Linked DNA regions of Oryzias latipes. The main gene of each other region encodes a partner of the protein of the gene in region 2 in a complex. Links are inferred from orthologs where the notes say so. Each region holds a gene or a part of one and is shown on either strand. Other genes may lie near its edges.

Region 1 (6,323 bases), on a different chromosome or scaffold from region 2:
GACATCTAAAGGCCAGTCATCTGCAAGTTTCTTCCGTTCTGTAATGACGATCCTTACACTCAGGGAGTCTTTCTGACTCAGTGGTCCTCTGAAGGACTTCTTCCAGCTCAGCAGCAATATGGGCAGCATGCTCTTCCGCTTTCATGACAGAATCAAGAGAGCGCAGTTGACGGTTTTCTTCTCTGAGGCTGTAATTCTCTGCTGCATATCGAGTCATTTTTGGATGATGCTCAACCTTAAAAGGTGAGAAAAAGGAACAAAGAAAGGCATATCTATTAGAAGAGAGAATATATTAAAAATGTAACCTGCATACAGCAGTTTTAAACTATTAAAAGATGCAATGGTTCTAGAATTGTAGAATTACCATCAGACAAGACACAATTATAGGTATCAAATGCAGAAGGATTGCATCGTTTTTACCTGATCACTCAGAATCTTTATTTCCTCCTTCAACTGGTCAACCACAGCCTGAGACTCAGTGTCTGACAAGGAGGTTTGTCCTGCCTTCATCTTTTTTTCAAGCCGAGAAATGTGATCTTCTCGAAAGCGGATTATCATTCTGCTGGAATGAATGAATCTGTCTTTTTGCGTCCATGCCTCCTCGAGCTGAGCCACTTTCTTCAGCAGCATCTGTGGAGCATAAGGTTAAATGTCTGGCACCAAAAAACATTTTCTCACTGGGATGTCATCTTCTATACGCCAAAAACATTTTAGAACCTTTCTTTCCTCTTCCGTCTTTTTCCACAGTCGAACAGCACTCATATACTTTGCTTGATATTGCGGATCTTGAACATTTTCAACAGATAGACCTGATAGGAGGGGGAAAAATAACTTAATTAAACAATGAGTTATCAATTATTCCATGTTCATTTTGGGGATATTGTTACCCATGGAGAATTCAGGTCCTCCAGGAGCTACATCTCTGGAATGCTGGACTCCCTGATATCCCTGCACCTGTGCAAGCTGCTCTTTCAGTTTCCTCACTTCAGCCTGCAGCTGCCTCACGTTTCCCTGTGTGTCTTCATTGATAACCGCCTAAAAAAAGGAAAAGAATTACTCTTTAAACACATAAATAACCCTAAACTCCTTCCTTTGGGCTTGTTACATTAGGATATTGGATGCTACTGGATAACACAGACCTTGTTTTTTATCAGCTTTGCTCTCTGCGCAAAATGCAAAGTGGATAATGTCTCCCCAAAACATTTTGAGCCAGGGTGAACATTGGCTATGATGTAAGTTTTGGCATTTCCACCAAGAGAGTCCTAAAATACAAACAAAAACATGCATGTTTTTGCAAACGGTACGAAACGCAAAACGAAAACACCAACATTTGAAAAATTCTAACCCGGAGAAGGAAGGTGAGCTTAGAGTCCCGGTAGCAGATGTGACGGTTCTTCCCATTGGACACGTCCACCAGTGCCATAATCACCTGGCCCAGACACATGAGGGAGCGATTGATGCTGCTGGCCTCCTGTATTTTGCGTTAAAGAAAACAGCAGTTTTTAAGCAATAAAAGCAAATACGGGTGTGATGAACCATTCTCGAACAAAGCTGTACCTTGAGTCGGGAACCCTCTGTGTGCGTGTCTTTTTGTCTCTCAGAACCTGCCAGATCAACAAGGTTCAGCTGAGATGTTCGGATGTTCACCACCTCATTTTTCGTCTCCTTGGATTCCAGCGTCATCGTGAACACGGCGTGAGACCTTGAAGACTCGCGGTTCATTGAAGTGGAGGCCACGCGTCGATTGCGCCAGCCCGTAGACAAAACCTCAAAAGGTTTGAACACAAATAATTTAAGGACTTTCTGTACATTTTCCAAAAACCTGAATGCGTGTGTGCTAAACGGGGTCGAAAGCAACTTCAACAAGTCAAGAATTTGGTTCTGATGCAAGAGATTTGAGAGAACTCACAATCGTCTGTATATTATTTATATACCTGATAGGCTTCTGCTGCAGAGCTGACAAACTTCTCCACAGCTCCCTCAACAAACACTCCTTTTTTAATGTTTTCTCGTAGAAAAAGGCTGGCAGACGCCGTGTCCAACAGGTCATAAATTTGTTCATTGTATATCTCAATAAATGAACACTTGCAAAGGAAATTCTTGGACTTTGCTGACTATGAAGAGAGGAGAGACAAGTATGGCATTTGTTGTAAAACACAGTTATAAATGAAACATCAGATCACAGTCCTGAAAAAAAATGTTGTTACTTACTTTCTCTGCTTCTCTGTTAATGAGGAAAAACAGGTACTCAAAACTGCGAGGAATAACCCCTCTCATTTCATCTGTGAAGTTATCCAACTCCGATGGGCCTGAAATAAAACTTTATTTGGTTAATGCTTAGGTAATATTTGGAATAAGATATTTAAATAGTGAAAGCGTATCCTCACCAAGCATAGTGAACGTTTTTCCAGAGCCGGTTTGCCCACTAAAAGAAACAAAGAGACAAAAAAGAATCTTGAGGAAAAATAAAGAGGGGGTAAAAAAGTGTTTGTCAGCCACCAATTTTGCAAGTTGTCCCACTAAAAGAAATCTATGTTCATCATAAATACACTTTAACTGACAGCATTTAAAAAAATATATAAATAAATACATTTTGATGTTTTTAAGAATTTATTTGTGCACTGCAGCTGCTACTTTGGTCCATTTTTCTGAAGAGCTGGGATGTTTTGCAACTGTTGCTGGACTTTCAACTCCCTCTACAGATCCTCTATTATTGGAACCAGATCTGGAGACTGACTAGGTCTCTTCAGAACCTTGAAATACTTTACTTTATGACGACATTCCTTCTCAGTGATCGAAGGAGGTCTTCGCCCAAAATCTCATAGTTACCAGCTACAGTGTATCCAAACCTGGTGAAGATCTACATTAGACATTACCAATGAATGCAAAGTATTACTATATATTTATAAACACCATTATATAAATAAAAGAAAACAAAAAAATGTTTTATTGGATTCTTTTTCTTACGTTGTGTCTCTTCGTCAAAGCTATAGTGTATCTATGACCTCTCATCTATTTAAGTGAGACAACTTGGAAAGACTGTGAAATAATTCTGAACAAAAAGCTACTTACTATGCAAATATGGTTCCATTATACCCATTCATACAGGATTCAACAATGTTCTTGGCCACAATGTTGAATACAGAATCCTGCACAGAAAGGACAAAGAACCATCAAAAAGTGGAATAGTTTCGGTTCTCTATTTCAGTTCAGACAGGAAAGTGACATTTCCTAAAGCAACATTGGTGCGACTGGAACCTGAGATGTATCCATGTCAGCAACATGATCATAAGTGAAGGTCCGCGGCTCTGGCTTTGATAGCAGACGGATGGTGTTGGGTGATGTGACTGTGAGACATAGGTTCTGGTCTCCATCCGTGGTCAGCCCGGTGCCATGGGTCAGAGGTCGCACACGGATGAAGACTTTAATAGAATCACTATCAGAACTGTTGACAAACAAACAAATACAATGAGCCTCTTTTAAAAAAAAAGCATTTGGTTAAATAAACCATCATTTATGATTACATACACACATTTATCACGTCTTTTAATTCAATGTGATATCTTCTGTAAGTCTTGTGGGGTTTTTATTGGTGTTGACATTTGGACCTCGAATCTATAGTTCTATTCAACTGAAGTTTACAATAACACAGCAAATATGACAAGTAAAGTAAAACAAGGGAAACATAAAAATGAAAACCTGGGGTTAACCAAGTTGGTTTTACTAGCAAACACAACAACAAAGTGTGTATTATGTGTGTGTTTGTGTCCACAACAGTAATAAAATGTACCACCTACCTGGCACAATGGAGGGATGATTCTCCAAATCCTGTTTACAAAATAATAATAAACAGATCAATCTTCTTCTTGCGGTGCTCAAGAAAACCAATTTTAACCAATTTTAAAAACATTTCAACCAATTTTAAAGTCGAACCATCGTTTAGAGTTAAGTAATCTTGTTAGAAATGCGTAACTTTACAGCTTATTTCTTTCTGAACCTCCCATCATTACCGTGTAGTAAAGAACATCATGAAAAGCTTAGCTAACGATGGCGTCGGATTTAAATGGAAGCATAACAAATCCTAAACCAAGTAAAAAAAAAGGTACCTCTTCCGTTGGAAGTCATTGTTATAGATTGGCGTAGCAACCGTTAAAAAGTTAAAAACATCCCAATGGCGTGTGGATTAAAAAGAAAAAAGAACATCCGGCACTGTTTACACTCGGCAAATCTGGCGGGTTTATCCAATCAGTCTTCCTCGGCTTTTACGTTGGGTGGCAACCATCGTAAAAGGTGCTGGTTCGCCCCCTAATGGTAGTGTTGGTGTAAAAGGGTAATTATTTTTAACAGCACAGGCACACACAAAAATAATAAGTTACTCCTGCAACCTTTGAACTAAAGTGTTACCAAGTCGTATATTAAGCAGCTAGATTTAAAAGCGTGGGTCTTAAACAGCTTTAATTTTAAAATTCGGTCTATATTTTGTATGAGAAGTAATGCATATTGCTACACCCCAACTCTTTGAAAACAAAAGTTTGACAATATTTTTAAAGAGTTTTTTTTCTAAATAAATGGGATATTGTGTCTTAGCCTGGTCTTTTATTTTAGTTTTTTAGGTCTCTTTTATGAGGTCTTAAATGCGTAGCAAATCTGTACTGTGAGTAACTTATTTTGCCACCAAACGTTAAGCTTTAGAAATTAAAAAAATGTTTAGATGATAAATTTCTTGCAGCACAATACTATAAAATCACATTATAGTATGTGTTTTTATATCTACGGAGTTTTAAACTTGGTGCTCTGCTACTCCTAAAATGAAAATCCACTTTGCGTCATTTCCGGTCTTTGATCTGATTGGTTACTCGACCAGGAAGAGCGTCTGTTTGAACACTTTAAACCACGTTATTGGTGCGTTCGGAGACTTTTCAATTCCAAACGGCTGAAGCCCAGAAAAAGCTGGTGAGGGTTTTTCCAAAAGCAAATCCAGACAGGTCTACAACTGAATGTCTGCGTGAAAGAGATTGTAATTTTAAAAAACAGCCTTTTATTGTGAGGTAGGTGGAATAAAGAATTTCTGTCACGGCATTAGATAGCTTTTCTCAGAGTTTGTTGAATTGTTATTCATATCCTTTTACTAGCTAAACCGGCGTTGGCCAACGGTAGTTCTTGGCTTTTTCAAATGTTTATCTTTCATCAGGTTTAGTAAAGTTTAATCATAAAATATAAGACATAAACAATCTAACGAAATGTTAATATTTTTACGTTCACTTGCATAAAATGTATGGCTGCTTTTCTTTCTGTTAACATCCGTTGGATGTTTCGGACTACAGGCCGCATGTAGTCACACACTAATTAAAATGAAATCTTTCTGTTTTTCTGTGTTCGTATTTACACTTCTCTGACCACATTTTAGATTTTCTTATTGACTTCAGCAATAACTAATTATCCTTCAAACTCCGTCAAATTGTAATAGTAATAACAACTGCAGTTATCATCATCGTATATGTATTTATTCTTGTGTATTTGCACATCATGCTAGTGTAATGTATAATATCTCGTAAACGGGTTGTGGGGTTTTAAAATTGAAACTCAATGTTGTGATGTGGCCTCGACCTGAGAAGACCTATTGCAAAATTAACATTACCGCCCTCTAGTGGTTAAACACGATACTACTTAGTGTTATTTATTTATTTATTTTTTATTGTACATTTTTCAATTTACAGACATTCACAGTCACTTGCACAATAAACAATTGTTAATATCTAACACACATATAAGACCGAAAAAACAAAAAACAGTAATATTTTTAACAATGTGTGTACCTTTTTTTTTTTTTTTTTTTTTGTAGATGCTCATTTATTTTACAAGTTACTTTGAGATGTTTCGTCATTTGTTTTCTTGTATTTTCTAAATATGTTTTGTCACATTTTTTTTTACCCATAGTTTTTAATGATTTTATTGGTATTTTAATTTTTTATGAACACAATCTTAAGTGTTACTTTGCACTGTGGCAGCTTTTACAAATGACAGTGTTTTAATTCACTTAATTTAACTATCGTTATTTCTTAAAATTTTCAATGTTTCTTGTTAATTATTTAAGTTAGGTTTAATGCTATTACAACAGGGACATGTAATATTGATATAAATATTTAGAAAAAAGGTCCCATTTACTTGAAGTTGATTAAAATTTCAATTAACTTCATGACTTGATGTACACCATTGTATCCAGTTGACACTGGTGTTTTTACACAAATCAATGTTTCTAATTGCAACCAATGATCATTTTAAGCCAAAGTATGCAGTCTAACTTGCACATGCCCTTATTCTGG
Region 2 (5,043 bases):
CTCAGAAAGCCCAGGCCGTTCTGCAACATGAATGTATTTTTAGAGGCTGTAATTTCTCGAATGTCTCTGTGATGGCTCGTTTTTTGCGGCTGCACGATCAGCGTCTGAATCAGAGCCTAAAATACACGTGTTTGTGTGTTTTCAGGATAACATAGGTGAGCTGGATACTGACCGCCAAGATGAGCTGAGGAGAGCAAGAAGTCGAGAAGAGGAAGAGGAGGGCAGGAAGCAAGCTCTGCTGTTCGGCTCTGAGGACACTTTTGATTCCATTGCTAGTGTGGAAGAAAAGGTGATTTTAGGGTTTTTCTAGGATTCTGGTTCATTAAATAAAGTTTGCAGAGTGGAAAAAAAAAGTCCTTTCCTTCAAGTTAGGAATGTTAGAAATGGTTTTTGTACTATCATATTTGTAACACATGAAATATTGGGTTAACTCACTGGGGACTGACTGGATAACTGATAATAACCCTGCATTTGTTAAAATTGAAAATTCAAATAAAGTAACTTTTGAGGTAAATATGCTTTTTCCTGGATTTTGATACCTGATGTCCAGCCCTGCTTTGGAAGGTTGTAAAATTCGCCTACTAAAGTTCAGCTATATGAAACCTTTTTTTTTTTGGTCCACGGCATTGAAGCAACACAGAAAGTACATTTATAAGAGAATTAAAATCCACCTGTTGAAAGGATCGTCTTTTTTTGCAAGTGAACCTTTGTTTTTTTTCCAGGTTTCCTATTTGTTCCCTTTGGATTTCACGGAGGCCAGAGCCATCTTTCTAGTGGGACAGAATTATGTCAACCAGGTATGCATAACAATTGATTCATAAGTCCCAGTTATTCATGAAATACTCCACATCGGCCAATTCCTTCGCAGAAAAATAATGGAAAACACACAGCAGCTAATCTGTAAAAATCTATTTAATTTTTTTTTCACAAATTCTAACAACATTTTAAGCTTTGATGCATTATTTTTGTTTTATTGTTGTTTTTTCAAGTTTATAGAATCTGCAGTTATTACAGAACTGAACTAAAAAGGCTTAAGAACTAGATTAATTAGCACTAACAGAGGCTAACCTGAATCCGTTCTCTGCTTTACTCAGCTCATTAGGAAATCCTCAATTCTTTGACGTTCTTTTTAAACCAATTTGGAAATCTATATAAACCCACAGTGTCCGTGCTCAGTTTTACACTGAAACTTGTGCGGTTTGTATCTTGGTGGCATCAGATCACTTGGTTTCTGTGAGTTTGCCTTTAATGCAGTATACCATTTCCTGAAAGCCATTCATGCATTAGAAAGAGATTGCAGTGCACCACACACACACAGAAACACACACAAGCGCTGGCTTTACAAAAAAAACCAAAGATAAGTTTAACCTGGAATGAACTTTAGTGAGAAAAATCTATATCAAAGTCACTGGGTTGAGTTTCACTCTCTGTGGGTGCAGTTTCACTTCAAAAATGTTTTTGAAAGCATCTACAAAATGCTGTGTAAAGGATTTTAATTAGAAAAGCGTGTTTTTTGTACTTATCTGCATCTTTGTCTGTTATCCATCCCAAGGCAAAGGAGCACTTCCAGATGGATGGGTTTGTGACAGACCACATCGAGATTTTGCAGGACCACAGCGCTCTGTTCCGGGCCCTGGCTTTCTTTGAGGAGGATGTAGAGCGGCGCTGCAAAATGCACAAAAGAAGAGTTGACATGCTGGAACCCATCTGTAACGGTACGACCAAACTTCAGTTCGTCTTGTTCTCTGAAGGCTCATCTCTGTGATATGTTCAAATGAAACCAATAAACTGGACAGAAAAGCTGAATTTTATCTTGCTTTGTTTCTAATGTTTCCTCAGACTTGAATTCCCAGTACTACCTTTTAATCCGCAGACAGCTGATGTTTGAGCTGGCTGAGACCTACAATGAAATGATGGATCTGAAGCTAACTCTGGCCAACAGACAGGAAGATTCTCAATCTCTAGATAACCATACAATTAAAAAGTTCAACCACCTGTGTTCCGCCTCTGCCAAGTAAGCATTCCCCTTTGAAGCCCTTTTGTGTATTTTCTACATGTGAGTGAGCTGAAATCCTCTCCAGGTACTTTCAGATGTTCCTGGACTCCCTGTGTTCTCCTGAGGGGAAAATTCCTGAGCACCTGGAGGAAGACGTCCTCCGACCGGCTCTGGTGGCTCGATTCAGAGTTGCTCGACTGCATAGCAAACTGATCAGCTCCTCGCCGCCAGTTCAGCTGGACAACCTCAACAAAGCTCTAGAAAACTACAAGTACGAAAAACCTTTAACTATGGATCAAATAGGACTGGAACTAAATTTAGATGGGAGTAGAAAACTTTGATGTGATGTCTCTTTAATCGTTTTCTCTCAAAACTTTTGTCCAGGTATGTGGTGCAGTATTGTGAGGCCCACCCAGAGGCTGCAGCCGCTGCAGAGACGGAGCTGGAGTTGAGTAAGGAGATGGTGGGCCTCCTCCCTTTGAAAATCAATCGGCTGAAAGCAAGGATGGCTACGAACAACTAAAAAAGTGCTCCTTTTTGCTGCCTGGAGCTCTGCTGAAACAATGTTTACCTGTTTTCAGTAGAAAGTCAGGGACTCTGTTTGGTCTGGTAACAATTGTCCTTTTTCCTGTGAGCATGCTGCTGAACCCATTACAGGCTCTTTAACTTATGTGCTCTTAACTGTCATACATATTGTGATTACATGTCTGCTTGTGATTGTTAATAAAAAGAATATCTCACTCTTGTGACACTTAGAAATTCTTAAGTGTTGGGGTTTGTGGACGGATCTGAATGGATTGTAAACACTGAGACCTTTGTGAAGCTTTAAGGATCATTTTAACAGATTTTCCGTATGCTTTTCTTTTCCATTTTCAGTTTTGCACTATTAAAATGTCTACTTTGAGCCTATCCCATATAAATAGACGGTACACATAGTGGGGTTTTACTCAAAATTCCCTTTTTCTACTAAGTTCTCCATTTAACTAAAGTAGGTTATTCAGCTACTTTCTGCACACAAGACTTCACAAGTGCAATAATAATGGGACACTTCGAGGTAAAGAGCAGTAAATGATGTGCAAATATCTGCTTTCTCTGAAATGAGATGCCTGTGCTGCAAGTTCACAGAACAACAGTCATTACATGGACTTGACTCAGTTTTTATCACAGCCTGCGTGATGTGCTCAAAATCCATTCCAGTGTGTTTCTCTCACTGACGGTTGCCAGAATTCAGTCTGTTTTGTGCAAAGCAGATATTGTGTATAATTTAAACCAATGTTGTAATCCTTTCTAATACCATAGTACCAAGATGCATTTCTTTTAGGTGTATTAAAAAGCTGAATGTGAAATGGTATCACTTGTTTTCTGACATCTCTACAAGTTTTATCAAAAGTCTAAATACAACTTTTTAGTTTAAATCAGATTTTTTTTTATTTACTGTGATAACTTTTTGAAAATATTAATAGAAAACTTGTTCTCTTGCGTTCATACTTTAAAGCTGCAACTTCTTTGCCAAGGAAGTCTGTGTTTTGTCTTTTAATTTGTTTGAATCTATGTTAGAATAGTTATGGTTTCTTGAAATTCCTATTACGTAAGACATTTCAGACTGTTGCCGGAATGGAGTTCACGATTAAACTTAATAAAGTGGGGGTAGAAGCTGAAGCAAGATTTGCAGCCTGCAGTTGGGACTTTTGTACGATGATCTGAGAGGGTTGAAGACGGCAGAAGGAAGCCACACTCAAGTAGATCAACGTTGCATGACCTCAAAAATTTGGTATTAACCCACATGTCTGACTGCAGAAGATCTTTGCTGCTCCTTTTTACAAAAGCACAAAATAAGAAGGTGGCAGTTCAGTTTCCACATCAGATGCACCATTTGCATGTAGAATTAGTGAATAAAAGAAATAAAGTATTTTCTTCCTTGGAGTAAAAAAGGAACTGATGGTTACTAAACTAGTCCCGATTTACTGGAACAAACCCTGTAGCCATGCAAACTGTCACTAAACTGTCTCTGCTAGTTTGACCTTTGACAAGTTACAATAGGAAAAACGGATCACAGCAGCTTAATGAAGTCAACAGTCATCATTTCCCCTCAACAGTTGCAGAGAATTGGCAGCACGTATCATTTTTTAGGACAGATTGTCTCCTCTACAAATGGGTTATGTGACCCTGGTTTAATTCCACATATACATCAGCTGTGCATATTTGTGCTTTGCAAGTTCTGCAATATCTCCTTTTTTGTGTGTAAAAGCTGCCGTTGCACCATAATAGCATTAGTCATGTTAACAAATAATTGATCTAGTTTCAGGTTAGTTAAAGCACATGTCACACACACAAAAAAATTGCTAATGTAATATAATGAAAACAAGATACTATAAAGTAATTCTGATTGTGCTAAAGGTGAGACACTGCATAATTTTTCTCCAGAAATTACACCACACGATGTTACCACATCCTTTATCATGATACTGATGTGTCAGCTAAATAATTTACTCATCTTCATGCTGTGTTTCACTTCCAGAAAAAAAAAAACTTGAATTAAATGCTAAAAAGGAACATGTTTAAATGATGACATTAACAGGAAGCAAACTAATGAGCCTGCAAGCCACGAGTGTTAGATGTTAATGCTCCCTGAACTTATAGATAAGATAAGCTGTGTCTGCATTAGAAAAAGGGTTAAAATGACCTAAAATACCTAATAATAGATTTTTTTTTATGTATGCATTAGTAATGTCCTGACATTCAGATATTGGTCAGTGGGAGGTTTTTTTTTTATCAAGAAACTGTCCACAATCAAATTCACATGCTTCATTTTGTGTATGGAATCTCATTAAAAGGCTTCCTTTAACAGTCTTGAACACTCCCAGATAGGGAAGGGTGTAACAGTTAATCAAATGATCAATAAATTGATTCATATTCCTATGATCCACCCAGATTGATTTGTCTAAAGCAAGTTGTTATTCGAATCGACCTATACCGTTATAAAATTGTTTCAAAATGGGGCTGAACTTCATGAAACTAAATTGTGAATGGATTTTCCTTTAATTCTT

What was found. The genes of interacting proteins can lie anywhere in the genome.
Region 1: the proteins of kif1bp (region 2) and kif15 are in contact, whole or in part, in a cryo-EM structure (PDB 6ZPH), measured with the Homo sapiens proteins. The link is inferred for Oryzias latipes from reciprocal best matches to the Homo sapiens genes KIFBP and KIF15. Residues at the interface, in NP_056449.1 of Homo sapiens: Lys26, Tyr33, Lys36, Ile106, Glu109, Ile147, Ser150, Glu151, Glu153, Thr208, His209, Tyr212, Tyr213, Gln216, Gln219, His220, Phe224, Gln238, Glu248, Trp249, Ile251, Asn252, Thr255, Gln258, Phe259, Asn262, Tyr415, Val416, Thr417, Glu421; in NP_064627.1 of Homo sapiens: Leu187, Glu189, Ile191, Lys192, Lys193, Arg231, Glu232, Arg235, Arg271, Met280, Arg281, Leu282, Lys283, Glu284, Ala285, Gly286, Asn287, Asn289, Arg290, Leu292, Ser293, Gly296, Gln297, Ile299, Ala301, Val303, Asp304, Val305, Gly306, His312.

The regions. Positions count from the first base shown.
Region 1 is NC_019880.2:12,224,780-12,231,102, forward strand, and holds the start of kif15 (kinesin-like protein KIF15), read right to left. Parts: upstream 4,262-6,323; 5' UTR 4,126-4,261; coding exon 4,107-4,125; intron 3,829-4,106; coding exon 3,798-3,828; intron 3,446-3,797; coding exon 3,259-3,445; intron 3,150-3,258; coding exon 3,073-3,149; intron 2,426-3,072; coding exon 2,388-2,425; intron 2,310-2,387; coding exon 2,212-2,309; intron 2,115-2,211; coding exon 1,935-2,114; intron 1,768-1,934; coding exon 1,558-1,767; intron 1,472-1,557; coding exon 1,346-1,471; intron 1,263-1,345; coding exon 1,140-1,262; intron 1,036-1,139; coding exon 888-1,035; intron 810-887; coding exon 718-809; intron 631-717; coding exon 421-630; intron 236-420; coding exon 58-235; intron 1-57. UniProt on the Homo sapiens protein: Plus-end directed kinesin-like motor enzyme involved in mitotic spindle assembly.
Region 2 is NC_019861.2:24,159,680-24,164,722, forward strand, and holds the end of kif1bp (KIF1-binding protein), read left to right. Parts: intron 1-145; coding exon 146-289; intron 290-722; coding exon 723-797; intron 798-1,552; coding exon 1,553-1,715; intron 1,716-1,839; coding exon 1,840-2,014; intron 2,015-2,081; coding exon 2,082-2,267; intron 2,268-2,380; coding exon 2,381-2,519; 3' UTR 2,520-3,347; downstream 3,348-5,043. UniProt on the Homo sapiens protein: Activator of KIF1B plus-end-directed microtubule motor activity. Required for organization of axonal microtubules, and axonal outgrowth and maintenance during peripheral and central nervous system development.